4 linked regions of the Drosophila melanogaster genome follow. The protein of the gene in region 2 purifies or fractionates together with the protein of the main gene of each other region. This does not show direct contact. Each region holds a gene or a part of one and is shown on either strand. Other genes may lie near its edges.

Region 1 (7,430 bases), on a different chromosome or scaffold from region 2:
TAAAAGTGTGGGATCTGTAATCGACGCCCTAGCCAGACAGGAAATGCTCCAAAACAGCATCATACTCTTTCTATCCGATAATGGTGGGCCAACACAGGGACAACACTCTACCACTGCCTCTAATTACCCACTGAGGGGGGTAAGTCATGCTATTTGATATTTATGTATAAGCTAAAACTACGTATAAACATAAAACGACTACGGACTGAACTAATTTAATTTCATTATAAAACTTGTACTACTTTTTTTTTCAATAATTGAACACAATGTCAATGTCATTACCGTTAATCGTAGATAAAACTAAATTTGTTTAACAAATGTAAGAAGTGGATATATCGTTTGTAATCTGCCCATGTCCGTTGTTAACTATTTATAAATACTAAAACACCCAAAACGTTCATGCAAACACTTTTGGAACATGTTCCTTTTTGATATTTAGTTCGCTGATTATAATCAATTTATATTTTAGCAAAAGAATTCCCCCTGGGAGGGTGCTCTGCGATCCTCAGCGGCCATTTGGAGCACTGAGTTCGAGCGGCTGGGAAGTGTTTGGAAGCAGCAGATCTATATTGGCGACCTTTTGCCCACGTTGGCGGCAGCAGCCGGAATATCCCCGGATCCGGCGCTCCATTTGGACGGATTGAACCTGTGGTCTGCCCTCAAGTACGGATACGAGTCGGTAGAACGGGAGATTGTCCATGTGATTGATGAGGACGTGGCGGAGCCGCATTTGTCCTATACGCGTGGAAAGTGGAAGGTGATTAGCGGCACTACCAATCAGGGTCTCTACGACGGCTGGCTTGGTCATAGGGAAACCAGTGAAGTGGATCCTCGCGCAGTGGAATACGAAGAACTCGTTCGGAATACCAGTGTCTGGCTGCAGTTGCAGCAGGTGTCATTCGGAGAGCGCAACATCAGCGAACTAAGAGATCAGAGCAGGATCGAATGCCCAGATCCTGCGACAGGAGTCAAGCCCTGCTTGCCTCTCGAGGGACCCTGTCTCTTCGATATTGAGGCTGATCCCTGCGAGCGGAGCAACCTATATGCGGAGTATCAAAACTCGACAATCTTTCTGGATCTTTGGTCGCGAATCCAGCAATTTGCCAAACAGGCACATCCTCCCAATAACAAGCCGGGGGATCCCAATTGCGATCCACGATTTTACCATAATGAGTGGACTTGGTGGCAGGACGAGAAGGCTTCCAGTTCAGGGACTATCGGGGTAATGAAAGTCTTTACCCTGTTAGTGGTATTCATCTTCACGAGCAGTTGTATTAATTAAATGAAAATTCTTATGTAGGTTAAATATTTAATGATCTTGTTAGCAAAGTTGGCATGTATTCAAAAAATTAATAAAAACTTCGTCTAAGGAAAATAGACAATTTTATATTTTATTATTTAACCAATTGGCTTGTGGCCGTAACTCATAGTAAACCGATAGCTTTTCTGCAACAAATGCGATAATTTATGACTTCAATTCTACCTATCAATAACCATTTCTGAGTACTGTCCAATTTGATCCGGTGTCAAAAGGCCAATCTCCCTTTTTATCTAATCGATTACTTCTGCGAAAACTGATAGTTGCAAAACCCCCTTCAAATTAAATTAAAGCACAGCCAAATAGCTTTCTGCCAATCAAAGTGGCTTACATAGTATTTAACCAAAATAGTTTACGACACTGAAATCAAGGCAAGATCTTTGGTTACAGATTAAATACCATAATCAATCAACTGTTCTATCTATCAAAAAAGACATTATGGACTTACTTTGTTCGTCAAAATGAACTAAGAGTAAAAAAAACGTACGAAAGTTAAAACCTTTAAAATGTATATACATTTTCTTGTCCATAGCAGCATGTAGAACAGAAAATTACGATGAGTTCATAATAAAATATGAATTTAAAAGAAATTTCGAGTTAAGAAATAGTTGTCCTTCCAAAAAGGCATTTTTAAAAAATTACCAATCTCAATTTTCGCTTTAGGCATAAAGTTTTATTTTAATGGCAGTTTTATTTTTATTTTATTTTAATTTTTCTATAAATGTCATGGAATATAAATATGATATAAAAATTGTTGGGGACGAATTAATAATTTTGATGTGAAAGGAGACGTCTTTCTTTGCCAGAAATATGAATGTATTAAGAAATTTGTGAAAAACATCATCTGCCTGAGAATCATATTTTATAAAACTAGTCTGTTTATAAAAATTAAGTGTTTCAAAGTCAATCCATTTACTGAACTATATATGTTAATAAGATTTGATGCATATCAAAAAATTGAATAAGTGCGATTCCGTGAATTACAAAATAAATATAATTACTTGAAATAAATTATGTTTTATTTATTTTTTAAGGGAGCCGGGATATCAAAGGAACTTAATTCAGACAAAGATCTAGTAGTAGAATTTAGTAGTATGTTCCATTGCCTTTAGGCTGGGCCACCAGAACTTCATATTTGTCGAACTTTCGCAGGGCCAAGCTCTCGTGCTTGATGATGCACACCTTCTGGCTGCTAAGGAGCAGGGTGCCGATTAGGATGCCTCCATCGGTCTTAGCACGGCAGCAGAACACCCGCTCATTTTTGACCGTCGTGCCCACGGCAACGGCTCCCTTTTCATAGAATCCATCGAAGCTCCTGACCCACACGTAATTTACATCCCGCTCAGCCACTAGGATGTCGTAGACGAGGAGCTTCGAGGATGTGGTTTCCGTATTGAAGTAAGCAGTACCAGTTTCCGCAACAACTCGAGCCGGCAGGATGCTATTGGAGTACTTAACACGACCAACATAGGTGGTAAATCCGTAGGGATCGAAGCCACCCACAACGGCATTATAGGGAATAACGTAGGACAGGTTACCAGCCTTCCACACGTGCTCGGTATCTGTTCGAAATGGCTATGTTAATTGGATTCAGTTAACCCTCTATATTATATTATTATTGGTTCTCACCATAAGTCGAGGGAACCGCGTAGGCAACTGCAAACAGGGCCAAAACTACACAGACAAGTTTGTACATCTTGACGGACTGCTGGATTCACTTTGAGTGTCTGGCCAGTGACTTAACTGCTTTTATAGTCGTCTTCTTATCTTTCGACTCCAATTACACTTATCGCTATCAAAAGATTGGTATTGATAGCATCTGTTTCGGTGACTAACGCATCGTTGTTTTATTGCACCCTTTCAAAGTAAGAGAAATTTAAAGAAAAAATCCCCCTAAGTCATTTCATAATATTGAGCTATAACTTAGTTGTTAAACATAAAATGATTTAAAATATATTTAATTAGGAACTTTAATATATTTATTTTGTTGTTTGTTCATACAATGAGCAACTAAAAACTTTTGTTTTAAAACCAATATTAGTAAAGAGCATAGCCATCGAAATATCCCTCTCGTTTGAATCAAAAAAAAGTTTGTATGCTCTTCAAGTTGGTCAAAATTAGTCTGATATAAATAAACTAAAAATTATAAGTTTTACTTTAATATATTTTGAATAAAACAATATTAGAGAACAATTTTTTTTAATTTCCCATGACATACAGGTTTTACAAGACGAAAGATCGTGTCATACAATCAACATTTTCCCCTATGGAATATCTTATATCGCACTTCTTTAATATATAATAAAATTTTAAGTTGGTATATATTTCAATTAGCTTAGTGAAATATTCATGTAATTTCCTTTCCTTATATAAAAATCAAAGTTGTCATCTTATCTAACATGATAAATCAATTAAGAACGCAAAAGACTATTTTCTGATAAAGAGTTATAGATTTTATTTGCTTGCATTCAGTATACATACAATGTATTTACAGAGCGAATGGCATGAACGAAGCCACTTGGCGTTGCCTGATCAGTATCTCGTACTTGTATTACTCGTACTCGTATTTGAGAATGCACCCTCTTTTCGAAGGCTACAGCGTTTCTATGAAGACGCCTTCAGCGCAAAGTTAGCCTCGTCCGTGTTGAAGTGGGCCCTAACCAATTCCGGGACCATTCGGGCAGGCAGGACATTATTGAGGACATTATAGTACACACGGCCGACGTAGTTCATGTAGCCAGCACTGCTTCGTCCAGCAGATCCTTCGTCCTGTCGGCAAGGATCTATTTGTCTTCACTGCTATATACTGCTCCCCTGATAAGGGTCACCAAATGAACTAGGACTACGGCCACAATTATCAAGCCCTTGTAGCAGTACATTCTTGAACTGTTGACTAGGAAGATATCTTGAAGTGACTAGAATCTGCAAGTCTGATATCAACTTTCTAGCTTTTATAGTTCCCGAGATTACCATGTTCATACAGACAAACGTACGGACAGTCGGATATGGCTTGAATGACCCGTCTAGTGATCCTGATCGAAACTATATATACTTTGTTGGGTTGAAAAAGCTTCCATCCACTTGTTATATCATTGTCAATCAATCAAAATCAAGTAAATGCGTTTACTCTACGAGTATAATTAAGTAATTAATTTAACAAAGGAATAAATAGTTACAGTTACAAAAAAATTGAAAATAGGAATTCACATAATTTCTTCTTTGGATTTATCAAAAACTTAAACACAGTTATTCTGTTTTTCTACCTCTTTTAAATTAAGAAAAAAGAATAGGAAACTTTGCTTTTATATTAATTATTTTTATTAATTCAAAGTCATTAAATAAATTGAAAGGAATTGTTTTTTTTTAATAAATATTTTGTATTTATATTTTATTCTATTTATTTTGTTGCTCAGCATTTAATGGTGGATATAACCATCAACAAATGGCGAGACGGCAGCTACATGGCGTTCGCGGACAAGGATCTCGTACTTGTCGAACTGCCGGAGCGGAAAGTTGTCGTACTTGACGATGCACATCCGCTTGGAAAGGTACAGAGTGCCGATAAAGATGGATTCATCACAGCGGACACGACAGATGAAGACACGCTCGCTGAGGGCGTTGGTTCCCACAGATACGGCGTTCTTTTCCCGGAAACCATCGAAACTACGGATCCAATGGTAGCCGACAGTGGCGTTGGACACCAGAACCTCGTAGGTGGTGGCTTGGTTGCCCAAGGTGTCGGTGTTGTAGGTGGCCTTTCCCAGCTCCGGTACCACTCGGGCTGGCAGAATGTTACTGCTGTATGTGACACGACCCACGTAGGTGTAGTAACCATCGGGATCGACGCCACCGAGAATCGCTTCCTCTGGAAGGTCCAGGGTCTTGTCCAGGTACACCCACTTGTCCTCATAGCTGTAGACTCCTCCGTGGATTTGAGCCACCATCTGGACGAGGACTACGGCCACAATTGCAGAACTCTTGGCTGAGAACATGATTCGATTGTTGAGAGGCGGGGTGTTGTGGACATTTCGAGCTGCTAACATCTTTTATAGGTCTTTCTTATCTATAGATTGATAGTAAATCATTCTTCGAGGAGTAACTTTGTGATTAGATTGTTAGTAACTTTTTTAGATCGGTGATTAACAATTAAAGTTCTGTGGTCAGTTACAGGGAAGATCTTTAAACTTTTGCAAAACCCCCGCTAAAAAATTTCCCCTAAAAATAGACCGAATTCACTAGTGATCCTGACCAAAGACTCTTATAGGGCTGAAAATGATTTACTCAACCAGTTAAATTATTTTAAACAAATGTGGTGGTACACCGTCTTACTCAATGAGTAACTTCCTAAATTGTGTACATTAAATTGTGTATTCAAGGAAAACAGCTTTTCAGTAGCTTGCTTTAGATGAAACCTATTTAAATGATGTTTTCCACTCTATTATCTACGTATATCGCTTAAACGGAAATCTAATTTTTCAGAATAAAGTTCTTGGCGAAATGGTTTAATTTAATCGTATCCGAAAAATAAAGAGTGGTTTTTATTTAGCAAGTTCTAATATGTTAAATATTTATGTGAATTGGCCAACCTTCCAAAATTGGCACGCATATGGGTAAGGCCAAAATCGTCAGGCCAAATCAAAGGCAGGAATACTAATCAACTCAATTGGTGATATTCAAACCAGTTTGTGGGTTTATCAACATAGCCGTCTTATCAAAGAACGTGGTACAAGAACCCTGACCTAAGTCAACTATCGTAATAATACAGCTTAAAACAAAACTTGGCTCATATTTTTCTCGCAATCTTACTCGATCCCTTCAAAAGTTCGTTAAACTTTGAATTGTGCCTTTGCAAAAGACACATTTTGGTTTTGCTGTTATGGCGGTTGGTTTTGCTTTTGCACGATTATTTCTGTTGCTGTTTTATAGCAGTAAGCTATAACTTTTACTACTATTTTTCGCGCACGCTTCGTGACGTCACAGTCGTCGGAGTCGGCGAAAACGTTGTCCACTTTAAAAGCGCCAAAATCCAGCGAAGCGTTTAGTCGAGTGGAGAAGTCGCTGGGAGAAGGATCGTCGACGATCACATTTCATCGCTGAACCATTCAGCTAAAATCCGCTGATTTAAGTGTTTAAAATTTAGTGTAAGATGCTAAGACAGTTGAAAAACCCCGCGTTCGGAAAGTTCAAGTATTCTTTTTAATTAATAGGATTAAAATAAGTAAATGTGATCACACCAAGTGCAGTGATTTATGCAAGATCATTTTTTAAGTCGAACACCGTAATCTTAATAATAACTAATAATATTTACAATAGTTTAAAGTTTTTATTTATACTCATTGCAAAGCATCAACTAATTATATATACGACATTTCATTTAGCATTGAGCTCTGAACCAGTTTTTTTTTTCTAATATGGTAATCACAGCTCTATCTGAATTGAAACCGCTCTTGCTTTAATGAAGTCATTATAAAAAAAATATTTTTTAAGTGAAATGAAAAGCACTCGAAAAAACAAATTACTTTATGGTTACCGAAGAGGTTCAATAAAAAAATTTTAACGATTACGTTAAGAACCACTTTCTTGAAGCGCATATAAGGACCGTTATATTCACAATTTCTTAATTTATTATAGCAACATGAATTCAACAATTTGAAGATAGCATTATAATTGGCTAAAGAAAAATGTTGTTGAACATAACTATAAGTTGGTTTTAGTATAGGATCGACAAAATCCTTAAACTTTTCAATCGCGAACATTTTTCCACTAAAACTTGTTTCGATCGGATCAGTCGGAGGCAGTTGTGGGGTCTTTATACTTAAGAACCTTTCCAATAACGACCGATTAACTTGATCTTAATTGCATCACAAGTGTTTTATCAAGGTCACGATATTAACAACCTGTGAAGGTCACCTCCTACCCGCTGGGCGTTCCCATTCTCAATTACACATGTACAATCCACATGTCGTGACGAAAATACCCATCTCATTCGCACGACTTTCTTGTTTATATACAAATTATGTGTCGTTATTAAAACTCGGCCAAAATGCTAAAACAATTGCACAGCTCATAGATTTTATGGCTTGTCTCGCTTATCTGCCTCGATTTCATGATT
Region 2 (8,378 bases):
AATTGTAACAGATCTCTGATAGTCTCTGATAGATACCGGACTATATCGTTTGAACTTGTCCTTGTTTTGGTTCCGTTGTAAAGATTTAACAAACTGTGAAACAATTTTATAATTGAGCAAATATTTTGCACTGTAGAGCGCACCAAACGATCTATATATAGATATATAAATATATATATATATATATATTTAAAACCGTGAAAAACGTTTGATAAACATTTTAAATAAACGGCAAAATGCCTTGTGCTTTAGTTCGGCCTCAAAGCTAAATAAATTGATTATGATATGATATAGGAATATTTATTAACGTAGTTAAAGTAGCCTGAAAACCAAATATTCAAAGAAATGAAAATAAAAATTGCTTCCACTCACAGTAAACAAAATCTAAACAATGAAATTGTTATAAAAGATAAATCAAAACTAATTTTAAACAAGCGAATATTGTGAATATACCGAAGCAAAAAAAAAATATATATATATATAGTGAGAACGATCACAAAATGTGTGGAATGTACATAAAGATAGCGAGTGGGTATCTTAAGAAAGACTGTAGTTAATATTTAAGACACTTTGGCCTGCGCTTTTACCAATATTTTTGTGGCCCAACTTGGCCCGAACTCCTTGGTTCCAACAATATTTTGCATTGATATGCTAGAGCTACCAACAAGTATATAGTATTAATATTTCTAACAATTCGGAATGTGCACTTAACTAAGCGAAGATTGAAACTAAAAATCAGAAGATGGAAACATCCTATTTAAATAGGTGGAAGTTTAAATAAGCAAAAGTCTCTCGCCTAAGCCCTGATCCTAAACTCTTGGCTGTATTTCTAATTGTTATCGCTTCATGTTGAGGTTTATTGTTATAACGCCAGCCTCCCATGAGCAATACTCCCCCCAAATTACCGTAAACAAATTATTTTCTAATCTGAGCCCAAGCCATAAGTGGAGAAGATTAGACCTCAACACCACAAAAACACCGACAACAATAAAATAAATCTAAGTTTACAAAACCAAACTACGATATTTACTTTTGATTTTGTTCCCTTTTTTTTGGGATGATCTATTAGACTATTATAGTTCCTAAATGATTTAAGATAAACAAAATAGATATTTTTAAGCTCTTTATCGAGCGTTTATTTGCTGAATTTCGCGATGTGCTCGTTAAATGTTTAGGTAATCTCAAGAAAAGGGCCAATATGGGTTCAACTTAGGGACTACAGTGTTTGTGTGGTTGGGTGGTTGTTTGTTGTTTGGTAGTTGCCATTCCAGGTGTCCAGAGTAAGCAGACTCATCCTTACTGGTAGTCCTTGCTGTCCTGGTTGGTGTTCCACGCCTGGTGGACACCGTGGTAGCTGCTCTGCTTCTGGGCGGGTGCGTTGCGGCCGAAAGGAGACTTGGGGTTCACCTGCAGAATGTAGTCACCCTCGAGATCGTGAGCGGTATCGATGCCCATGTAGGCACGCTTGCCGAATCCATCGTTCTGCTTGTACTGCTGCAGGGAGTTGGCTGGCACGGCGGGGAAGCTCCTCTCGTTTCCGGGACGCACGGACTCGGCGAAGTAGCGGGTGGCACGCATGGCGGCCTCCACCACGTTGCTGGCTCCGGGAACACCGGCGGCAGGTCCATTGGGATAGAAGTCAACATCACCGGAGCGGATGGGGGTGCCCATGCCGTAGACCGAGGTGTGGATGGCGTCAACGAATTCAGCATCACCGCGAGCCAGACCGGTCAGGGTGTTCTTGCTCTTGGCCACGATCTTGGAGGGATCCAGACCGGTGACACGGCGCAGCTTGTGTCCGGTGAGACGGGTGAATTCCTGGGCAGCGGCACCGGCAACATGGGCACCCACATTCTGGCCAATCAGGTGAATGGTATCGAAGGGCATGTCCAACTCGTTGACCATCTGGACGATCCACTTGCCGATCTTGGCGCCGGTCTTCTCAATGTCGAGCATGGCATAACGCTCATAGGTGTTCAGCTTGGAGCCCAAATCGATCACAATGATGTCGCCGCTTTGGGTCTTGGCGTTCTTAACCTCCTCGCTGTAGTCCTCCTCGCTGCTGGTCCTCTGGTTCTTCCTCTGTTCGTTGCTCTGATCCTGGTAGTCCTGGTTGCCGTTCTTGCCGTGCTGGCGCTGCTGCTGCAGATTGTAGCGCTGCATGTAAGCCTGAACCAGCTTCCTGGTCGCCTTCTTCACGGTCTCGCTGGTCTGGGGCAGTCCGGTCACAATGATGGTCACCTCATCCTCACCAAAGTTCTGCTTCTGCTTCAGGCGCTGGATCATCTCGTTCAGGGGAGCAACGGTCTTGTCACCATTGGGCTTGGGCACATAGACCTGGATGCCGCTGGGCACATAGTTGGGCTCAACGTTGTGGTGGATCTGCGACAGGTGGTCTACAAAGGATATATATATTCCATAGAATATTCGATGTTTTTTTTTTTTTTTTTTATCTGCATCTAGGATTACTCACAGACTTGCTGCAGCAGCTCGGCGCCACGCTCCAGGTTCATGTTCTCCAGACGCTCAATGGTGAAATCGTCGAGGGCGGGAATGGCCTCCAGCTGGGATCCGGAGAGCCACTGCGACGGCTTCAATGCCTGGTTGACGGAGTTGTCCATACGGCCATTGGGCTTGGCCAAGGCGGCGACCGCCAAGCAAGCCAGAAGGCTCAGCACTCTCATGGGGTTCATGGTTCGGATTTGGGATTTGGTCCTGCGGATGCGACTTCAACACTGAGTGAGTTGAACTGGCCTTCCAAATCCAACGATGGTGGTTTATATACCACAATTTGCGCTGAGCGATTTCCCATTTTCTGACTCGCTTTTCGCTGGCTCAGGCCTTAATCGGTCACTTGTGCTGAGTAAGGGTTTTCGGGTGCCTGGGAATCGGATGAGTGTATATGCTATCGATAGCGGAATAAATTGTATACATACAAAATAGACACGGGGCCTACCTATAGCTGACCCCACTGATGACTTAGCAGCACCTGCTGCCGCCTGATTATTTTAATTTGTAATCACTTTGTAGGCTCCGCTGATTGCAACATTGTAGTTGTGCACCGGATTTGATCAAATAAATGCATAAAATATAGATCTAACATGGGCATTAGTTGGTTATTATATACAACATTTTATTGATTTTTTTTGTTTATAAGTAGATTTATATTTGGCACTTTTCTTCTGCTTAATTAAAAGTCCATAATTTTGCATTTTCAATTCAAGGCCGATACAGTTCATTGATTCCTAGATGTTTGCCATTGATACGAAAAGTATGGAATGTTTGTAGTTTCCAAGGCAAGATAGTAAGATTATATTTGTTTTTGGACTTTAGAAATGAATTGATTCAGGGGAACGTTTTTCAAGGAGATTCTATTTTAATATCCGGGATTCGTTTTATAATATATGATCTTATCGATGCTATTTCATGTAACTCATTCTACTTATTAAAAATATATGTATATTTCGATAGATGTAAATATTTATATTTATAATATTATAATTTATAATATATTTATTTTGCATTTCCCTGAAAGTGCTATCTGCTTATAGAACAATTTAGACAATTCTTTTGGCAAACACTTAAATAGTTGCATAAATTTCACAAAATTGCCAAATATTTTTTTCAAACAAAAGCTTTATCTTGACCTGTGCATGAGTTCAAGTCGTGCCCCCACTGTCAAGCCCCTTAATGGCCAGACCACCTTTTGTTTATGTTATGAAAGTGCTGGTTAAAGAAGTTTCCCATTACCTGTTACCCGATGGATACTTAATAACCAAAAAAAAAAAAAAAAAAGGGGAACGAAATTTTAGAGCTCATCAGAAGTGTTGCAAAATCACTGACGCTGCGAATCAATGCATTTGTGCTGATCCAGAAATCGGTTGCTGAAATCAATTGCTTCCGGCGCGTGCATTATAGTGTGTATAGACTACCGATTCCAAGGGGTATAAAATGCATTGAGTCGCAGCAGTGGGTATGCAGTACAATTTGGTACGGTGTCTGAAAAAGTCGAACTTGGAAGCCACAATGAATCCTCTGCGCACCCTTTGCGTTATGGCCTGCCTTCTGGCGGTCGCCATGGGTAATCCCCAATCTGGTAACCGTTCCGGTCGCCGATCCAACTCCCTGGACAATGTGGAGCAGCCCAGCAACTGGGTCAATCCACGTGAAGTCGAGGAGCTGCCCAACCTGAAGGAGGTTACCCTTAAGAAGCTGCAGGAGATGAGCCTGGAGGAGGGCGCTACGCTGTTGGACAAGCTCTGTAAGTTCAAGGATCTCTAAAAGTTCTACCAATCATGTTATATTTACACGCACTATCCTATCCCGCAGACCATCTGTCCCAGTTCAACCATGTCTTCAAGCCCGATTACACCCCGGAACCCAGCCAGATCAGGGGCTACATTGTCGGCGAGCGCGGCCAGAAGATCGAGTTCAACCTGAACACTTTGGTGGAGAAGGTTAAGCGCCAGCAGAAGTTCGGCGACGATGAGGTCACCATCTTCATCCAGGGCCTGCCCGAGACCAACACCCAAGTGCAGAAGGCTACCAGGAAGCTGGTGCAGGCCTACCAGCAGCGTTACAACCTCCAGCCCTATGAGACCACCGACTACTCCAACGAGGAGCAGAGCCAGAGGAGTTCCAGCGAGGAGCAGCAAACGCAGCGCAGGAAGCAGAACGGTGAACAGGATGATACCAAGACCGGAGACCTGATTGTGATTCAGCTGGGCAATGCCATCGAGGACTTTGAGCAGTACGCCACCCTGAACATTGAGCGTCTGGGCGAGATCATTGGCAACCGTCTGGTTGAGCTGACCAACACCGTGAACGTGCCCCAAGAGATTATCCATCTGATTGGCTCTGGACCCGCTGCCCACGTTGCCGGAGTGGCTGGACGCCAGTTCACCCGTCAGACCGGACACAAGTTGCGCCGCATCACCGCCCTGGACCCCACTAAGATCTACGGCAAGCCCGAGGAGAGGCTGACCGGACTGGCCCGTGGTGATGCTGACTTCGTTGATGCCATCCACACCTCCGCCTACGGCATGGGTACCAGCCAGCGATTGGCCAACGTGGACTTCTTCCCCAACGGACCCTCGACCGGAGTGCCCGGAGCCGATAATGTCGTTGAGGCCACCATGCGTGCCACCCGCTACTTCGCCGAGTCCGTGCGTCCTGGAAACGAGAGGAACTTCCCCTCCGTGGCCGCCAGCTCGTACCAGGAGTACAAGCAGAACAAGGGCTATGGCAAGCGCGGCTACATGGGCATCGCTACCGATTTCGATCTGCAGGGCGATTACATTCTGCAGGTGAACTCGAAGAGCCCCTTCGGCAGGAGCACTCCCGCCCAGAAACAGACCGGCTACCACCAGGTCCACCAGCCCTGGCGCCAGTCCTCCTCCAACCAGGGTTCCCGCCGTCAGTAGATCATCGCACAGTGATCCATCGATGACAACCAGATCGCACACCCCTCATGCGAGCGAACCACTCCAGCCCATCCTCATCCAGCAGAACCCTCTGCCAGTTGCATCCACTACGATTAGTTAGCTTTGTTTTTTTAACTCACAATAAAAAACGTTTGCATTTTTAAACATTCTAAAGAGTTCAGTTCAATATCAGAAAAAAACCCCAGTTCAATTTACAATAAAAACAATTGCTTATGTCGAAATATTTGAGAGTTCTAAATGCTCATTATATAAAAATATCCAAAACCAAATTATGCAATGCCACTGAGGTCATAAAAGAAGCACACAACAAACATTTGGATTACATGATATGTTTATTTGATAAAGAAAGCATATTATCCATTATGATATATAGCGTACACACACGCACAACCACATATATAGATATGGCGCTATATATATGGGACGATGAACTACGGACAATATTTCTTGCTTACTACTGTATTGGCAGGCGCAAAAAAATTGGGTTGAGATATCACTAAGCTTAAATAAGAATAATTAACGTAGAATTTCAACTTGCTTCACTCATATTCATCGTCTCGATTTCAACAACCTCATCAGAACTAATCACAAATTGGAAAAATCATATACAACACGGGGTGCAATGGGAATGGATGGTCTTTTTATCGATGCGAATGGGTCTCCAGATGAGATGGGTTAATGGATTTAGAGGCTTATTTAGAGCTGTGTTTTTGTTTTTGTTTTTTTTTTTTGATTTGTTTGTCTATCAGTCTAATCGCGGCAGGGCTGATCCGAGGGCGACCAGGTGCACATGCCGCCGACGCCGTCGTAGGTTAGTCCCTTGGGACAGGTGTACTCCCATCCAACGATTCCACCGGTCTCCTCGAATCGGGCGCAGGATATAAACTTCCTGCAGTTGAGGGGATGCGGAAAATTTCCCTGTGCCCGGCACTCAATGATGCCATGACCATGAACGATCACCTTGGGATCGTTTTTGGTCGGAAGAATACTGCCACTGCGACGCCGTTGGGCGACCTGACTGTGAACCACCGGGAATCCCTCGTCCAGAAATTGACTACTTGACGTGGCTGAGATTACGGCAGTCTTGGCCGGCGGACGACTGTAGACCTCGATGTATTTGTGCGGACGACGACGACTCTGCTGGCGACGGGAGAGAGGAGGAGCCGAGTGTCCAGCCGACGTGGTCGATCTCAAAGTTGAACCGGATGTGGTTGTAGTGGGGGGCGTTGATGTGGTCGATTGCGGCCGACGAGGACGTGGGATCAATTGACGGCCTGCAGTAACAAGTTAAAACCAGTCAAATACAAACAACAATGCAATGGTTATACACTTACGGATTCCCTGGCCAATAACTGGTAGTGGTGCATTGGCAGTGGTGCTAACTGTGGTGCTGGTGCTCTTCAGTGGCTGCGCTGGCAATGCCAAGTCATATTCCTCTCGTGGACGCACCTGCTCTGGTATCTGGTTGAAGCGGCTCGTGTGAATGCTCGACTTGGCCACCTGATCCTCGTCGTCGTCGTTCAAATACAGAGTGGTGGTGGTTTCCAGGCCCGAAACTGGTGGGTTGGTGGTGCGGGCGGACGGCGGAGTGGTGGATATAAGGGTGAGGCGGCGCTTGAACAGTGGGTTCTGAGTTCTGGGCACCTCGGTGGCTAAAGGGAAAACATAATAAGAATATGAAATATGAAATTTAAAAAAAAAATTAAGAAAATTCATGGCTTAATATTTTGATAACAAAATAATTTCATTAGGCGAAAAAGCAATAACAGGATTGTTGGTAAAATTGAGATGTTTATGACAACTTATTTTCATCATAACTTGGCCTAAAATTATCGTAAAGATGTAAGAATAACATTTTTGAGCAGCTAATTACTAGTACTAACTAGTAGTACCTGTCACTTTTTGAAGAAATTAGGAATTTTAATTTTTGGGTCATTTTTCGCCTTTTTTGTAAGGGGTAACATCATCAAAATTTGCAAAAAATTACCAAAAAATAGAATTTCCATTTGTGAATACAGTTCGATTGGGAATTTTATTACGAGCTCAACGAGGTATGACATTCTATATTCAGGCAATTATTTTTAAAGTTATGCCAAAAAAAAACGGATTATTTGATGGCCGAATTTCGGAAAAACGGATTTAGCCAAAATCTTGATATTTACAATTGGAATTTTCGTCATAACTTGGCTAAAAATGGTCATATAAATGTAAGAATAACTGTTTTGAGCAGCTAATTACCCATGCTAACGATCCCTATCACTTTCTGGAGGATTTTCGAAAATTAATTTTTGGGTAAATTTTCGCATTTTTTGTAAGGGGTAACATCATCAAAATTTGCAAAAAATGGCCAAAAAATAGAATTTCCATTTGTGAATACAGTTCGATTGGGAATTTTATTACGAAATCAACGAGGTATGACATTCCATATTCAGACAATTATTTTTAAAGTTGTGGCAAAAAAACTGATTATTTTATGACCGAAATTCGGTAAAAACGGATTTTGCCAAAAAGTTGATATTTACAAACGGAATTTTCGTCATAACTTGGCTAAAAATGCTCGTTATGAATCTTTGGCGAGTTCGACAAGTTTCTTCGTTGCTGGTAATGAAGTACGTACCGTTATCCTATTGTTTGATAATGCATTTAAATTTATGCCAAGTTTACTTACCACTTTCATCGCCGTTGGCCGCCGGTGCGAAGGTTGTCAGCCGACGCGTTTGAAATTGGCGGCGCAGAGCAAAACTGGCGGGCTGGAACTTGTGCTGCTTTTGTGTGATGTCATTGCTGCTGCTGCTGATGTTGCTAGTTGCTGGCGTCAGTGTTGCTGCCTCACCGGATGCTGCTGCTGCTGCTGCGGCACCGCTCTTGGCTTTCAGCTTGCTCAGGTAAATGTTGCTGGTGGTTCTGCCGCCGGGAGCAGATGTTGCTGCTGGG
Region 3 (7,996 bases), on a different chromosome or scaffold from region 2:
TCTTGGCTTTTGCCTTCGGATTCTTCCACCTCTTCTGCGTCCACAGACGAATTATGGCCATTAAAGCTGCTTGGGGTTTTAAGTTATTAGGCAACTTGAATTTCAAACTGCACTTGACAAACGCACAAATAAAGAAAAACAATCTTAAATGCGCAGTCAGTCACACAACTGCAGTGGACTTAATCAGTTAATAATCTAGGCTTAAAGGTTGATTTAATCACGGCTAAACTGGAAAAGGGGAGCAATCCTCAACAAACCGTGTTTAAAATTGGATTTAAGGTCAGTGTTCAGCGAAGTCCAATCCATCCATCCCACAAACATACATAGGTATTCCACCCACTTGCTCACCTGTTGAATTTCAAGGGGAGCATTTAACCCCTTTAAATCGCCGACACCCCAATGCTGTGGTTCGTGCATTGCTCATACGTCATTAACTTCAGTGACTTTGATCTATATTTATTTGAGTCTCTGGGTCTTTTTCTATGGAAACGTAGCGAAGGGCAATCGATTGAAGAAAAAAGAGTTGTATTGAATGATAAACTTGAATTGCTCATTCAATAGGATTCCATTCCATGTCGATGTTGAATGTTTTATATACATTTTTTAAAAAGGTTATATATACTACTATAAATCTAGCCAACAATATTATATTTTTTTTTGCAAATGTTAACTTATATTTCAAAACAAAGTTTGTAATACAAGTAAATTACATAAAACATAAAATATACATGACAGCTATCTACGTCCGCTGTCCTAAGCTACGCCATCTGTTGGTCATGAAAATTGAGCAGAACATCTGTTAGATGGCGCCACTAAGCCAAGCTTATCTTTAAGCTAAGACAGCGAAAAAGCTAGTTTTAAATTTAAGCTTACATCAAACCCGTTTCACCTTAGCGCAAACATTAAGAGCATTTTAAATTTAAATATTTTGTATTTTATTAAATATTATTTATTAATCACGCCATTTAACATACACAAATATCCATAGACAGGATCGTTATAGCCCGTTTTCCTCTATTTAATCAGCCCACTTTATCTGGACCATTACCATGGCAATAATCATTTCACAACCGACCGCCTCGACGCAGTCATCCCATAAATACACCACTTACCACCAATTCCTGTTGACGAAAAACAAACAAGAAGGCGACAAAATGGCCAGCAGTCTATGGAGTAGAAACAGTCATTGATTTGCAGTCAGTTGGGATTGCTAAATGCAAAATGGACTCGGAATACACAAAGAAAAAAATTAATTCATTTACAAGACCTCCAAATATGTATATATATATCATCACATGGAATTTTTCTGCTAGCTTAAAATATTATCCAAATTGTAATCGATTTTTAAGGGAATCATACATTTGAAAACAAATTCATCAAAGTTGGTGCGGTGCATTTCAAAAACTTCCAGTCACGTCAGCAGCGAGGCTCTAAGTTTGTCAGCTCCCAAAAGCTGAACTCCAAATCCATTTCCATGTCCACCACGATTCATTCATTAATTCAGGCAAAGCGTCATAAATGCCACGCGGTTTTTATTTGGTTTTTCAGGCTGGTTGATTTCGTCGTTTGTTTTTGATTTAATTAAGCGGCGCTTTTCCATTTTGCAATGTTTTTCTTGGCCGTTCCGCGAAGCATTTGCAAGTCAAATGCAGCGGCGTTAATTAATTGAATGGATCGAAAAATAACGCATACGCAGCGTGCGCCGCGAAGAATTCTGCGCTTGCGATCCATTGGGCAATCGCTTTGAATTCTCTCATCCATTCTGTGGCCAGTGGCTAATTAGGCCCGTCATCCAAAATTCGCGGCATTTTGCACCCATTTTGGAGCACACGCCGCCCGATCGCCAAATCCAAATGCGGCTAAAGACTCGCCTCTCGATCGAAGCCATAAAAACCAAGACGAGGATCGATCGGCTGATCGCCTTAAATCGTCATTTAGTATGTGGCAATTTGGCATTCGAGTTTGCCACCCTTCTGATCCACCGACCGATTGCTGGAAAATTGCTTTCCACCTGGCCAAAATGTGGGGCAGTGGCTGGGAAATCTTTTATTTATGAGGACCGGCGACACACCGACCACAACACACAACACCGATCTGTCCGCATCTGTCCGGATCGAATTGGACATGGAACACTTGTTTGGCAGTCGCCGACCACTGGCAACAATTGCTCCTATTGACTTAATATTTGCTAATAGAATTCACATAAATCACATTCCACTGGCATGCATGATTTATGCATGAACTGCGATCGCAGGTGACTCTCTGTCTCTTTTGCGGCGTTTCGTGCTGTCCTTTTCTCATTGTGCTAAGTTTTTTTTCGAGTTTTTTTTACGAGATTTCGGCGTTGAAGTGGTGTTTTCGAGACCTCTTGAGAGGAACTCCACTGAAGTGCTGCAAGTTGCATGCGCTAATCTGAGACATTATGTGCTTTCCAAACTTTAGTTTCTTAACCCTAATATATAAAGCAAGTATTTAAACACGGACTACCTTATTGTCTCAAAAAGTTATGTAAAGTCCACAAAAATATAAATCATTTAAGAAATGAATATATACACCATATCTATACTTAAAGCGAATAAGTGATATAATGATTACTTGAGACACTATTAATCCGTGATAAGGATCACGACGAGCATTCTCAACAATTTGTAGCATTATTAATTTTGTGATGACCCAATGTCACACCTCCGTACCCCCGCACATCCCGTGGGGTTAATCAAGTCGGCCATAAAAAATCCCACGAACTGCCAGATGCTGAACCGGCAATTTCAGCCGGCAAAGTCGATGGATCGATGGCGAGTTGAAGCTGGAGCTGGAGCTGGCGAACTGGGGCCTCCACTCGATCCAAACCCCCTCGCCACGCACGAGTGTCCTCGAGACGAGACGGCGTGGCTGCGGCTGAAATCACCCATCCAATATGGTCAAATGTGGCACGCAGCGGCATTCGAGGCACGATAAAGATAAATATGAAGCTCGCCTAGATATTTCGGCCAGAGGGGATTGCTGCTTGGTGTTTGGTTTTGGCGTTTGCCGATTTGGCAAGCGTTCATTATGCAATTTGGAGAGAATTTCCCAGCGCCACGCCGAGAATTGTTTCGAGAATACTCAAACATAGCAACGAAAACAATTAGACGGCATTCTACGTTGGCTAATTAAGTTGTTAGTGGCAAGGCTGCGTGCTTTCGAGGGGCGTGTCACCTGGCGCGTTGCCCAAATTGGCCAGCTAATCAGCGATTTCAATTAGCGTGCGCTTTCCAAATGCGAGCCACAATGGCACCCCCAGTGTAAAGACCGCCTTTCCTGCGGCGACTCCTTAGCCGGCAAGTGGTCTGCCTTCGGTTCGGAGCTCCCAACTCCCAGCTCCAGTTCAGGTTGCGTCATCCGCGTTTGGGGGCTCTCCAATCCGAGCTGCGTCTACGAGAATTGCAGTTTCACTGCAGCCGAGATACTTCACAAATTGGTGCTGCTTGGCCCGCTTTGTTGACTGCTGTCTGCTGACTGTTTGTCCGTCCGAGGCTCAGATCGAAATCTAGTCAAGATCTGTCCGCTCGACCACCTGTCCTCCGGTCCGCAGTTCGCAGTCCGCTCGAGAGTGCGAGTGCGTGGTCTGCCGTCGAGGGGTATAAAAGTAACGCAATGCACACGTCCACTTACAGTTGCAATTCTCCCTCCAAGCCAAGTGATTCGTTATCCAGCGCTAGCATGAAACTTCTGGTGAGTGGAAAGGGTTGGAAAGGATGCGGCCTAGGATCAGTATTATCACTTTAAGCCAATAATACTGACTGCAAAGGATATCTTCATACAAGGATTACCTCGATCTTATATTCACTAGATCAAAAAGATTAACATCAAAGTTTGGTTTTCCATTTACCTCGCCAGATCCTTACCTCTCTGCTGGCTGTGGCCACTGCTGCTCCTGGACTCCTTGATTATGGACACTCGGCTCCGGACTACAGCTACGCCCATGCCGCTCCTGCCATAACATATGCAGCTGCAGCTCCAGTCATCAAGTCCTACGCTGCCCCAGCCATCACCTATGCGGCTCCAGCTCCGGTGATCAAGTCCTATGCCGCTCCAGCCATCAGCTACGCCCATGCCGCTCCTGCCATCAGCTACGCCGCTCCCACGGTGGTCAAGTCCTATGCTGCTCCTGTGGCGGTCAAGGTGGCAGCTCCAGCCACCAGCTACTCGCACTTCAGCTCGGTAAGATCTGGATATACTCTGATATTTTCCCATTTAATCTTACAATCTACTTTGCATGCACAGGTTGTTTCCCATGCCACGCCCATTGTTAAGTCGTACGCTGCGCCTGCCATCGCCTATGCTGCTCCAGCTCCGGTGATCAAGTCCTATGCCGCTCCAGCCATCAGTTACGCCCATGCCGCTCCAGCCATCAGCTACGCTGCTCCCACGGTGGTCAAGTCATATGCGGCTCCAGCCATCAGCTACGCAGCTCCTGCCCTGGTTAAGTCATACGCTGCACCTGCCCTGTCCCTGGGTGGATACGGTTACCACTAAGCTCCGATACCAAAACACTCCAAATCCAAATCGATCCCGGATCGGAGTTGGAACAATGGCAGCAATTAACTGCGAGGAGTCGCAACAGCCCAGCACGCTCTCCCACTTTTTCAACTTGTAGTCGCAAAATCTTCACAATCTTCTCTGTTTACTTCTTATTTATTTAAGAACCATTAATATTCTCTCAAATGCACAATAAAGAAAAATTCTGTTTTTCAAAACCCACTCGTAATATCTACGATGGCAAAGGTTATAATGACCAAGATTGAACTCAGGTTGTTCAGGATCTTGGCCATATGGTGCCAGGGATTCTCCTGAATGTCGCAATAGTCGGTAGACTGTAGGAATATAGTGAATTGCAATACGTATATGTGTTCAATAGGGGCTTAACTACTCACATCCGAAAATCTCAATCCCAGAATGCATCGCAGAACATTGGAGTTAATCACCCTAACCAGCCAGCCAGGAGCCTTCGATCTGGGTGGATATAGATCCAGCCATATAATGCAGATGTGCAGAATGTAGCAATAGGTGGTGGTCATCATGATGACTTTATATGCAGTCACTGTAGGAAAAGTGAAAATTTGAATTTGAAAATTATACACAGTGAGTTTTAGTTAATTGATTTAAAACTTACTCATGGGCGGCACATAATGCGGAGAGGCGTAGCGCGTCATGTACATTAAACCCCAGGCGGCAATCAGCAAGGCGATGAGAATGAGGGAACTCCTACGAGTAGAACGCAGTACAAAGGACAAAATCAGGAACATCTGGCAGGCTGAAAGAATATATTGTAGTTATATGTTATTCCATAACAAGAAATCAAACACATTTTCATATTACCAATCAACGGCAAATAGAAGACGGTCATGTAGAAGCTCCGATTCCTTTGCAGCGTGAACTCAATTGCCACATCGCCGGTCATTTTCTGCATCATTCCCTTGGGGTTGTATCGCCTTTGCGAATCGTTCTCCACCAGCACCACGGACATTTGCGTGAACGACCAGCCGGATGGCGTGTTCACGTGCTCATTGGGCGCAATCGGCTTGCGCTGATCATCGTAGATTAGCGCCACATTCTCCTGCCCCTCCTGGCCATTGAGACCCAGCTCGATGTCGCAAGTCACTCGCTCGCTTGGCCAGTTTCGGGCACTGTCCACACACCAACTGGCCAGCTGGAGGTTTTGAGCGTACAGGGTGATGCTTCCGTTGGCGTAGACCATCAGCTCATAGGATTGGAGGACCTGACCCATGGATTGCAGGGCGCCGTTGAGGACGTTCATATGCGGCTTCCATATACGAAGGTCAGGATGTTCGAAAGATTCCAGCGAGCCGAAGTCCTCGGGTTTCCAGACAAGACGACTATCCCTCCAGTGCTGCATGGATAGGCGAATGTATCTTTACTGTTTCACACTAAATATTTGCATTTCGAGCTTATCTTTCATTACCATCATCATGTGCATGCGGGTCTGAAGCAAGGAACTGGTTTGCTCGTAGGCGAGGGAGCGCGTTTGGAAGTGGAACGATATGGAGCTGAGATTAGCCGGCATGCTTGCATTTTCCGCCTGGATATTCAGATGGCTTAGCAGTTTTTCCGTCTTCGTTTCCTCCTTCACTATCGGTGCAATTTCCGACCCTGAAATGGGTCAGTTTTAGAACATACTTACAGATATAGACTTATAGCTTACTATATATCATCCTTACCATAACCATCGAAGCCACAGTCGTAAAACCACCGCGCCGTATTGGAACCAAAGGAGCTGAAACTCAGATAGTTGATGACCAGCGGTGCTTCATCGATGAACTGCAGCAGGGGCTCCTTCTTGAAGCCGGGTATGTAAACAAACAGCTCGCCATCTGGAAATATACTGTGCGTTGGAGGGGCAGGGAATACCCGATAAGATGGGGGAACTCACTCTGGTTTTGGACAATCTCAATTGGCGTCGGGTCGTACAGCGATACCAAGTTCGGCTCTTGATTCGTGGCCACCCGCCTCATTCCCATAGCATTCCGGATTGCGGAAAACGTATTTCCGCCGGCTCCTATCACTGCAAGCGGAATAAAGATATCAATTGAATATTTAGGTAGGGTTCCACTAGAAAGAGCTCATTGAAATGCTGGAATTAAAACTGAATATTATTGATTTCACCCACCGATCTCGTAAACGCGATCATTTGGGCGCGGGTGATTCGTCACCGAGAGCAGGATGTGCGCATCCATGGCGGTCAGGACGTAGAATTTCAAGTGCAGCCGCTCTCCGGCCTTCCTGTTGTTGTTGCTCAGCTCGCGCAGCATGTAGAACCTCCGGTAGCCATAGCCCGTATTCGGAACGGAGTAGGTTTCGCAGGAATCCAGCTGGGCGAAGCTCACGTTGAATCTCGTTGACAGTTGTCCCGATTCCGCTGGGTCAATCAATATCAGTAGCAGGCACAGGCAGCAGTATGTTGCCAAGGAGCCCTTGATAAGGTTGTACATCGTATCGACCTGGACTTCTACTCCTCACAGCGGCTTAACTACGACTGAATTAGGAAGCCGACTTAAGTGAAGTGATAAGAAACGATGAACTAATGGTTGTTTCGATAAATAATACTGTTTTTTTTTTTTAATTTGAAGAGTATTTCTCAAAACCTCCTCGCATGAACGTTTATGCAAGTAGAGTGAAATTTCTTAATTGTACATAATCTCTGTTTATTGAAAACGGATACGCATATATACGTGTTCGATTTTAAAAATGAAAAAAAAGCTAAAAATGCGCGCCAATATATAACTGTGCTTTCCCTGCCGCCTAGTGTACCCGTTCGCGCGGCATTTTGGCTCTAAACGCGTACGGTCATACTGAACTTCAGACCTGTTATCAACATTCAGAAATTTCCACTTTTGCCTAGCTTAATTTACATTTGTTGGCTCGCCTTCCGAACCGAGCTTACTCCAGGTGTGGCAAAGGTACCGCTGCTGACCCCGAAGGACATGCCCGATGACACGCAGGATGCCAAGGCGCAGAAGTTGGCCGCGGCAAGGAAAAAGGTGCGACAACCAGTGCCACACACAATTGTTTTGCTCTTGTGACGTGGACACATATTGGCCGACTAATATTGATTTTGTTTAACACGCTTCTGTGGACACAGCTGAAGGAGTACCAGCAGCGCGCCAGCAACAACAATGGGCAGCCGGGAGCAGAGGAGCCGGTGGCTGCCACCACGCAATCGCACTCGTCCACTGTGAGCATATCCAGCAATCTGTCGGAACGGTCAGACAGCGAGATAAATGTGAACGGTGGAGGAGCAGGTGGGACGCAGCCGCCGGAGCAGTCTGCCCTGCCCACAGCCGCTTCTTATTTTGCCCAAAACGAGTCGGAACACAATGGTGGACTGGCAGATGCCTCTAGCTTGCAGGCCATCCAGGTGATCATCGCTGAAAAGGCCCAGCTCAATGCGGAGCTGACCAAGGTTCGCCTGGCTTGCCGGGAGCGTGAGCTAGAG
Region 4 (7,855 bases), on a different chromosome or scaffold from region 2:
CATGTATTAATTAATGAAAATAATTATAAGTGCTGTAATTAATATTATATTATAGTTCTATAAATGGACAATACTAAACATATGCAACTTAGAATATGTTCAAAATCACTAGGATGTGTTGATCGAATAAGTGACCTAAAAATATATCTTCTTTCAATTAATTAATTTAAATGAATAAATAAACTAAACGTGCAGCTGCCCAAAATCCCCGCAGCATTTGGAGTAGCAACATGATTACAGTTACTTTTAATTATATAAATTAGCTACATTTCCCTCTTATTTAACGAATTAATTTACTCCCAGCTTTTGTGTCAGCAGATCGCTTGCCGAAATTTGCCTCGGCCGAAGGCAGGTGAATAAAGTGATGGCTCCTGCGGCTGGCCGCATATGTGGGCCAACTTAGTGGCAATAAGTTAAATTAGCATAAACTTAATTAGCATAAGAGTGCTGGGCCAACTGGGAGACGGTAGATAGAGAGACCAGGAACCACGATGGCACAAGTGGGCGGGAATGCTGGCATATATGCCACCCAGGCCACCACCCGCTTTGCATATATTTCACTGCAAATCCGCAGCGCATTAAAAGAAAATACGTGGCAAAAAAAGAGTGCAGGCTTTATATGTATAAAATAAAATGCACAGCAAAACAATGCAGGCAGCATGGGTGAGCATTTTCGAGTCTGGGGATTGTGCCAATGAAGTAACGACCGCACATACAGATACAATGTTGCCCAGCCCGTAGGTTGGTGGTTTGGATTTGCAGAATGGCAGGATGGCAGGATGGCACTGCGCTAAGTGACTGCTGTTATACATTTAGCCAGGGCTGATGGGATTGTGCCGAGCGATACGGTGGAGCAGATATGGCCAGAGATACGTTTACAGTTGGAGTCGAGAGTGCGCCCGGCCACCTCATATGCTCGCATACTTGTACACTCGCCTCTGAACAACTGTACAAATGTACAAATGTACAAATGTACTCCGGTGGACTACACTGCTGCCACCTGGCGCCTCCACCTGATCCCCAAAGCGTCCAGGAGCGCGACAAGATAAAAGCTGGTGCACTAAATCTGCTGCTATGTGCGCCACGGGACACAGTGGGCAACCTTCTACGGCAGCTCCTATTCTCGCACTGCTTCTTTTGGTCGGGCCACGCTGCGTATGAGCAATGCTATGCGCGTTAAGTATATGTATTTGTTTGTCCTAAAGGATTTAGCCAAACGGCCCTCATCATGGTCGCCTGCATATGCAAAATAATGCGCTCGAAAATTTTCCACTCGTTGCACTCACTTAGAGCAATGGTATTTTAGGAAAATATGCAAGTGCACTCAGTGCTTTTATGTATTTCATTCTGATTTTCATGAAAAGTTATATTTATTGTGCTCTGTAAGTAAAGCAAGTGCACGGAATTGGGAAAATAATATATATTTCCGGACAGTCTGAAGAAAATATTGATATATTTAAACTATAAAAAATACCTGTGGGAAGATTGTTCGGATTATTTTAATCTCATATGTGCAAAAACGAATTAACGAACTTTTATCATCCACTTTTCGCTGAAACTGCAATACATTCTGCAGGCCCCTAAAGCTCGATGGCCATCATTAATGCAGCCATTATTTCCCATATTTTTTATTTTTTATTTATATTTCTCCTTATCGTAGGCAGGCCTGAAAGGGGGGCCAAGTTAATTTCAGAGCACACTTTACGTGCTGCAATTTGGAGCGTTTCAGTTGCATTCGGACCCGGGCCAGCAGCACATTTGGTAAGCAATAAATTGACCCGCCAGCCGACGCCATCATCTACTTTAAAAGCATTTGTTGCCACACCGCCACCACCCAGAACCTGTGGCCGCGCCCCCAATCAGCAGCACTTGGAGCCATCCGCCGCCCTGTGACCTCCTCCAATCCCCTCCAGCAGTTGCCAGAGCGCCGTACTCGAAGCGGCGACGACGCTAAAAAGATACCGGAAATGTTACAGGAAACAAAATGACTTAATGGCCGCGATTGCAACGGCATGGAATCGTTTCAGGCATCCTCCTGATCCTGGTCCTTTTCCATTTTCCTTCATGCTCCTTGGTCCATAGCCTGCTGGCATTCATGGAGGTTGCCGAGGTCAGCAGAAAAGCATAAAGGAAAGGTTATGGCACGGCCATGTGCTGAATGGATACCCTTCTTCAGATCGTCTTTGTTTACAAACATATTTTATATCAATAAGTCATAGTTATTATTTTTAAAAAATAATAAAAAGTTAAGCACTCTTTTAAGTGCTCAAAGAATAGCTATTAAAAAAGGTACTAAGTTTAATAAAATACTTATCACGTGTAAGACAAATATATTCTATTAAGGTCAAGTGATATTTGTGATGTAATCCCACTTACATAAACTTTTTTGAGCTAGCATTTAAGCTCATGCTTCTCGAATTCCCCACATGAATTGCTTTTCTTAAATGGACCAGACTCTCCCACTCCACACCTGATGTCCTCTAAATGGAGCCGATGATGAGCGTGATCCGCCAAAGGCAAGTTACTGCCCATACGACCCGACCCGACCTCTTTCTTTAAACAGGTAATTGCAATTGCGACATCATTATCATATGCTAAACGGAACTGATTGCTATTGAAACGGTTTTGAGGTTTGAATTTCTTTTGAGCTGAAACATATTTCTAATTAAATTAATTAAGCGAAGCGAGAATATGGCAAGTATGCAAGCCAATTAGTGGAAAACGCAAAATTAAATGTCTGTGCATTGAGGAGACTGCAGCGGTGTGGAGTGGATGGGTGTAAAAATAGCTGGGAAAAATGGCAACCAGAAGAGTGCGGGATCGCTCCGCCAACCCATTGTCCTTGTCCATGGAGCACTTTGTTGGCCACTCCGGCTATAATTGCGTTGAGACATGTAAGCTTTTGTTTTGCAGTTAGGCGTGTGGCTGTGCGACAAAGTTAATGACAGCATAATTAAACAAAACTAACAGCAGACTAATAAAATGTTCATAGTGCATGTCGCTCAAGGCCTCGGCACATCACCACGCCATCACAACCCCATCACCTCGCCACCCACAATGCCAGCTACTTTCCATATCTCCAAATGTATATACATTTATACAATACATATACCTGGCGAGCATTTCATGTCGTTGTGTGTCAACGTTTGTCAAGCGACAATTAAAGTCATAATAAAGGCATGCTAAAGACAATTATTATGTGCACGTCCTGCCACGCCCCCCAAAAAGAACCACCCAGTTCGTTCGGTTAGTTATGCATAAAGTTCGCCACAAAAGGGTTTAACCTGAGCGTAAACATGCGCTCCTTTGTCTCGCAGGCATATAAATTTCAAAATTAAAGCAGAGTTTAACCTTTGTCCTTGTGCAAATGGCAGGGTGGGTCTATAACCACCTGCCTGCGATTGTGTGAGACCCGCATAAAGAGCCTTCGGTTTTAATGCACGCGAAATTGACTTATTTGATTTATTTTCATAGTTTAAGCCAAGGGCTTTTATTATAAGCATGCTTTAAGTGAGTGGATTTGAGAGGGGATTTTAAGAAAATGCAAGGCAAAAGTTATATTTATATTCGCGTTGTTAATTATTTATTGAGTACTGTATTTTGCGGTGATTAAAAAAATAACGTTGTGTTTGAATAAAGAAAATCATTGTCCTCATAACACTGAGAATGCATAAAATAATTTTTTTTTTAATTGCCCCCAAGTACAGTAAAACAAATGTGCACAGAGCTTTCTTCGAAAAGTTATCCAACCAGCATGCATTCCACTATTCGCTCATTATGGAAAGCGGCTGATTAAATATTAACTAATTTAATAAAATGCCGGCCTGCTTCAATATTGAAATAGTCAGCGAATGTATTTGCCCAAGCGCACGTAGCCGAGATATATAAAAGGTGGTCCAGGGTGCAGAATGATTAGGCTATCCGTTGACCGACGATGCATTCGACCAAGTCAGCCGTTCTCCTGCTCGCCCTGGCCATCAGCGCCAGCTGCGTTGTTGCCACACCGCATCCGGAATTCTTGGATGAAATCTTCGGCTCCATAAACCAAACTGGCCAGCACATCATCAGTGGATTCGTGAATGCCACCAGGAATGGCACGGCCATTGCTGGTGAGTTCCTGGACAGCATAAGGAACTCCTCCGCCCAGTACACGCACGAAACCCTGGAGTTTGCCCAAAAAATCGCAGATGCAGTTCATAGAGCCGCCACTGAGTCAATCGTCGACTTTTCCGCGACTCTGAGGGCGCAGATCGACGCACTGCATCAGGGGATTGATCGGGTGAGAAACATCCTGCAGCGAGAGGCACTTAAGGATGCTCTCGCCAGACTGCAGACCGTCAATACCGTCGTAAATGATCTGGAAGTGGCCGTGAATAACCTCAATGATCGGATAGACGAGAAGAAACAAGAGTATTTCGCCATAATCCAGAAGAAGTGGTACCAATGGTCTGACGCCCAATTGGAACGAGTGGATAAGCTGACGAATGGAGTTGGCAACGAGGAAGCCGAGGAGATCATAAATGAGCTACTCTCCCGGTATTCCGGATATCTGCACAGCTGCCTGGAGGAGTTGCAAGCGCAGCAAGCCACGTTTGAGCAAAATGTCCAAGAGGCCATCGAAAAGTACCACAATGCCACCAACGAACTGACGGACCAAGTCGAGCTCTGCGTCCAGTTCAACCTCAGCTTCCTGTCCTGCCGCAATGGCATCAATGAGGCACTACGCGGACTCGACTCGGCTCCCGCGGAGCTGCTCACCCTGAAGCTTCAAGGCATCCGACTACTGGCCATCGGCCTGAATGCCAGCGGATGTGTGGGCCAGACCCTGGCCGAGCACGAGCTGGAGAAGCCCAGCGTGGAGCGCAAGCTGGATGAGATCATTGCGGAGTACCAGGAGCAGCAGACTTCCACCGATGACGACTCTAGCTCTAATAATGAAACGACCACCATAAGTTCGTAGGATTTCGGGGAGTCATCCAGTAATGAATATGACAACTCCAGCAATGACGACGAATCCTCATGGAAATATTTACAAGAACGTATAGTGTATTTTAGGTGTCGGGTAGAAGCAGCAAAATAAATTACTCTAATGCAACTAAATTAGAAATTGTTTTCCTTCATCGTTTATCAATGATGTTTCTTAATAAACTATGCCAAGCTTCTCAAAATATTTCTTAACTTTGAACAGTACTTTAAAAATTACTCTACCGCAAACGTATTACCCAGATACCGATTAACTTCATCAATGGTGCAGCACATTTTTTGCGGATGCTAAAGCAATTATTTTAAAATTGTCATATTCATTTATTTAGGTAAGGCACGAAAGTCGTGGCAATTTAAAGACACGAGGCTTTAGTAGATTAATTATTTAAATGCATTCGATTCTGCCTTTATATGTAAATTAAATAAGGGTGCTAAATAATATAGAAAAAGGGAAAAAGAAACTAACTTGCACTCTTAGCACCTCCCCTACTAACAAATGATGCAAATGAACTGAGTGAATTCCCCTTAAAGGACTTCCCCAGCTGCTATAAATATAAATAGTTGTATAACAACAGTAACGAAAGGTATAACACTGAATTAACAATCTCAACTGCTATAAAAATGAACTTTTGTGCTTTTGTATAACAGTCAATTGAAGAGGACACGAAGCGCGTAGTACAGCGTTTATAAAGTTTTATGCTGTTATATTTTTCAATGAAAATGTGTTATTTCATATCGAATATAACAGATTTGCTATAATATTCAAATTATGGCTCCGTTCAACTAGCATACATCTGATTCTCATTTATAGCTCATACGCCATGTATACATAACTAACGTACAGCTGGGTAAATTACATTTATAGCTCATACGCCCTGTATAACACGTGTACGATTTCCCCTTTATGACTTTGCGAGGGGGGCACTAAATGAACCACTCGAGAATAAATATTTGCTGAAATAAAACGCAGGCTTTCTATCTTAGTTTGCTTACTTGCAATTTTATTGACTTCATGTGTTTGAATAGATCTCTTTAGTATCTGAATTTGCCTCTTATTACCTAAAGACCACTAAATCTGTTTTTCTGATTTCTGTTTATTATTTACTTAATGATTATACTTTTTGTGCGCTAAGCCAAACAAAAAGTTTACAGATTTCGAAGCATTGGAAATTCGATTCAGTTTCGTGATAATACTAAACTTATCATTTTGCGTTTCTGCCTCATGCACAAGCCAAAAGACAAGGACCTGTAAATATGTCCCAAGCTTTTTCAGCCCACTAACTCATAGACTGAGCGCTTACCTCGGAGGAGTTTCGGCCTTACTAATTGATAATGTTGCACTAACAGTTCGCTGGCAAAATATCGATACATATTCATTGTTTTGCTGCATGCAACGCCTTACTTTCATTCTTGTATACCTTATTGCTTACTCTAAAACACGAAACAATGGCTTAGATTACATATGAATTTCGCATTAGGAATTTACTGAATTTTGTTTAGGAATAATTTTGCATTAGGACTACCAAAATCGGGAAAGCATATTTTCCAAATTAAAGAGAACAACCAAACAGTGATTAGTGATTATAATAATTTCGTAGTTGCTTCTATCTAGCATTGTTTAAGTATTTCTTAAGTCTCTCATCCCTTGTTTCATCGGAAAATATATCAATGAAATATTTGTTTCAAAATTTATATAACTGAAAATATTTCGTAGGACTCAAACATTATGTAGAGGAATTCAAAATATATTTTTTTTGAACAACCAACTTGATTTTCGCTTGAGATCATACAGCTACAATCATGTGTTATTGCTTCGATTCGTAAGTGCGTTCCTTTTATTCCTACTGTGAGCAAATGAACATACTTAAATACTTAGGGTCAGTTAATTTGTTGAGCATTCTGATGATGGCCAAATGAAGTTGATAAACCGCACCGGAACACAACCAACTAAATTCTCAAACTAATTGGCACATAAATGAACCAAATGCCCCAATTTAAATGTTTCCAACAATGTCCATATCTCATTGGTACTCCACCCTGGCCACGGGCACGCCCAAATCATTGATCTCAAAGACAATCAGCTTCCGTTTCTTGCGGACATTGGCCGATGGAATCGATTGCTTGGGTGTCGTCGTGGTCTTTGTGGATGTGGTGACCGGGATGGATTGCTGCTGCTTCGTTGCCCCTCCTTTCGTTGTTGCCTTCGTCGTTGTTGTGGCTGTGGCAGTGGCCACTCCTTTGATTAAACTCTCATTCGTTGTTGCACCCAATTTTCTCTTCGGTTCCAGCAGTTTCGGATTTCCCTTGGGCTTCTCTTTAGTCTTATCATTAGTATTTTCCTCGGGTTTCTTCTTGGTAATTTCTACTGGTTTTTCCTGTGGATTCTCCTTGGTCTTGAGCAACGGTGGCAAAGCTGGAAGATCGCAACGCTGGCGGAGATGACGATACACTGCATCCACCCGCTGTACCAAGCGATTCACATACTTTGTGGTCGTTCGATCTACAATCGAAGGAGCCTTGATGCAGTCGTTGCCACCGAATTCACAAACCTACAGGGGAATAATAAATTTATAAAATACATCTTTTTTTGAGACTTTAGTTTATATACTGACCCGATAATGCTGCAGGATGGCCTCCTTTGGCGGTACGTTGAGGGATCCCTTGCCAGGTGCAAATTCCCACACGAAGTGGTTGCCCGCCTCGACAACTGCTTCCGGTTTACAGATGTACTTGGATCGTTGCTTCTGAGGATGCAGCTTATAGCGCCTGAATTCGTATAGGTACATAATATCCTTTTTGCTTTCCTTTTAGAGGTCACCTTACCTTCGTGTTTTACGTTGAGTGACTAGATTGGCCCGTACTCTGGCCAGTT

The links.
Region 1: the proteins of Yp2 (region 2) and CG5506 purify together in Drosophila melanogaster (affinity purification with mass spectrometry, with the first as the bait; one large-scale study listed by BioGRID). This does not show direct contact.
Region 3: the proteins of Yp2 (region 2) and CG34205 purify together in Drosophila melanogaster (affinity purification with mass spectrometry, with the first as the bait; one large-scale study listed by BioGRID). This does not show direct contact.
Region 4: the proteins of Yp2 (region 2) and CG16826 purify together in Drosophila melanogaster (affinity purification with mass spectrometry, with the first as the bait; one large-scale study listed by BioGRID). This does not show direct contact.

What each region holds. Positions count from the first base shown.
Region 1 is NT_037436.4:17,881,332-17,888,761, forward strand, and holds CG5506 (uncharacterized protein), read right to left. Parts: upstream 3,046-7,430; 5' UTR 3,015-3,045; coding exon 2,948-3,014; intron 2,881-2,947; coding exon 2,405-2,880; 3' UTR 2,318-2,404; downstream 1-2,317. Other genes in the region: CG7408 (uncharacterized protein), read left to right, coding at 1-139, 470-1,282; CG16775 (uncharacterized protein), read right to left, coding at 4,735-5,310.
Region 2 is NC_004354.4:10,048,232-10,056,609, reverse strand, and holds Yp2 (yolk protein 2), read left to right. Parts: upstream 1-3,975; 5' UTR 3,976-4,026; coding exon 4,027-4,261; intron 4,262-4,329; coding exon 4,330-5,423; 3' UTR 5,424-5,659; downstream 5,660-8,378. Other genes in the region: Yp1 (yolk protein 1), read right to left, coding at 1,297-2,396, 2,474-2,693; Cht6 (chitinase 6), read right to left, coding at 6,195-6,718, 6,779-7,096, 8,113-8,378. UniProt on the Drosophila melanogaster protein: Vitellogenin is the major yolk protein of eggs where it is used as a food source during embryogenesis. Vitellogenins and their receptor yl/yolkless are required for maintenance of microtubule plus-end orientation towards the posterior pole of oocytes.
Region 3 is NT_033778.4:22,126,851-22,134,846, reverse strand, and holds CG34205 (uncharacterized protein), read left to right. Parts: upstream 1-3,547; 5' UTR 3,548-3,636; coding exon 3,637-3,714; intron 3,715-3,879; coding exon 3,880-4,203; intron 4,204-4,266; coding exon 4,267-4,518; 3' UTR 4,519-4,733; downstream 4,734-7,996. Other genes in the region: NtR, read right to left, coding at 4,734-4,856, 4,917-5,083, 5,156-5,296, 5,362-5,893, 5,966-6,153, 6,222-6,374, 6,434-6,565, 6,671-6,992; GM130 (golgi matrix protein 130 kD), read left to right, coding at 7,485-7,541, 7,643-7,996.
Region 4 is NT_033779.5:13,343,863-13,351,717, forward strand, and holds CG16826 (uncharacterized protein), read left to right. Parts: upstream 1-3,910; 5' UTR 3,911-3,934; coding exon 3,935-4,960; 3' UTR 4,961-5,158; downstream 5,159-7,855. Other genes in the region: CG9395 (uncharacterized protein), read right to left, coding at 7,005-7,532, 7,596-7,749, 7,807-7,855.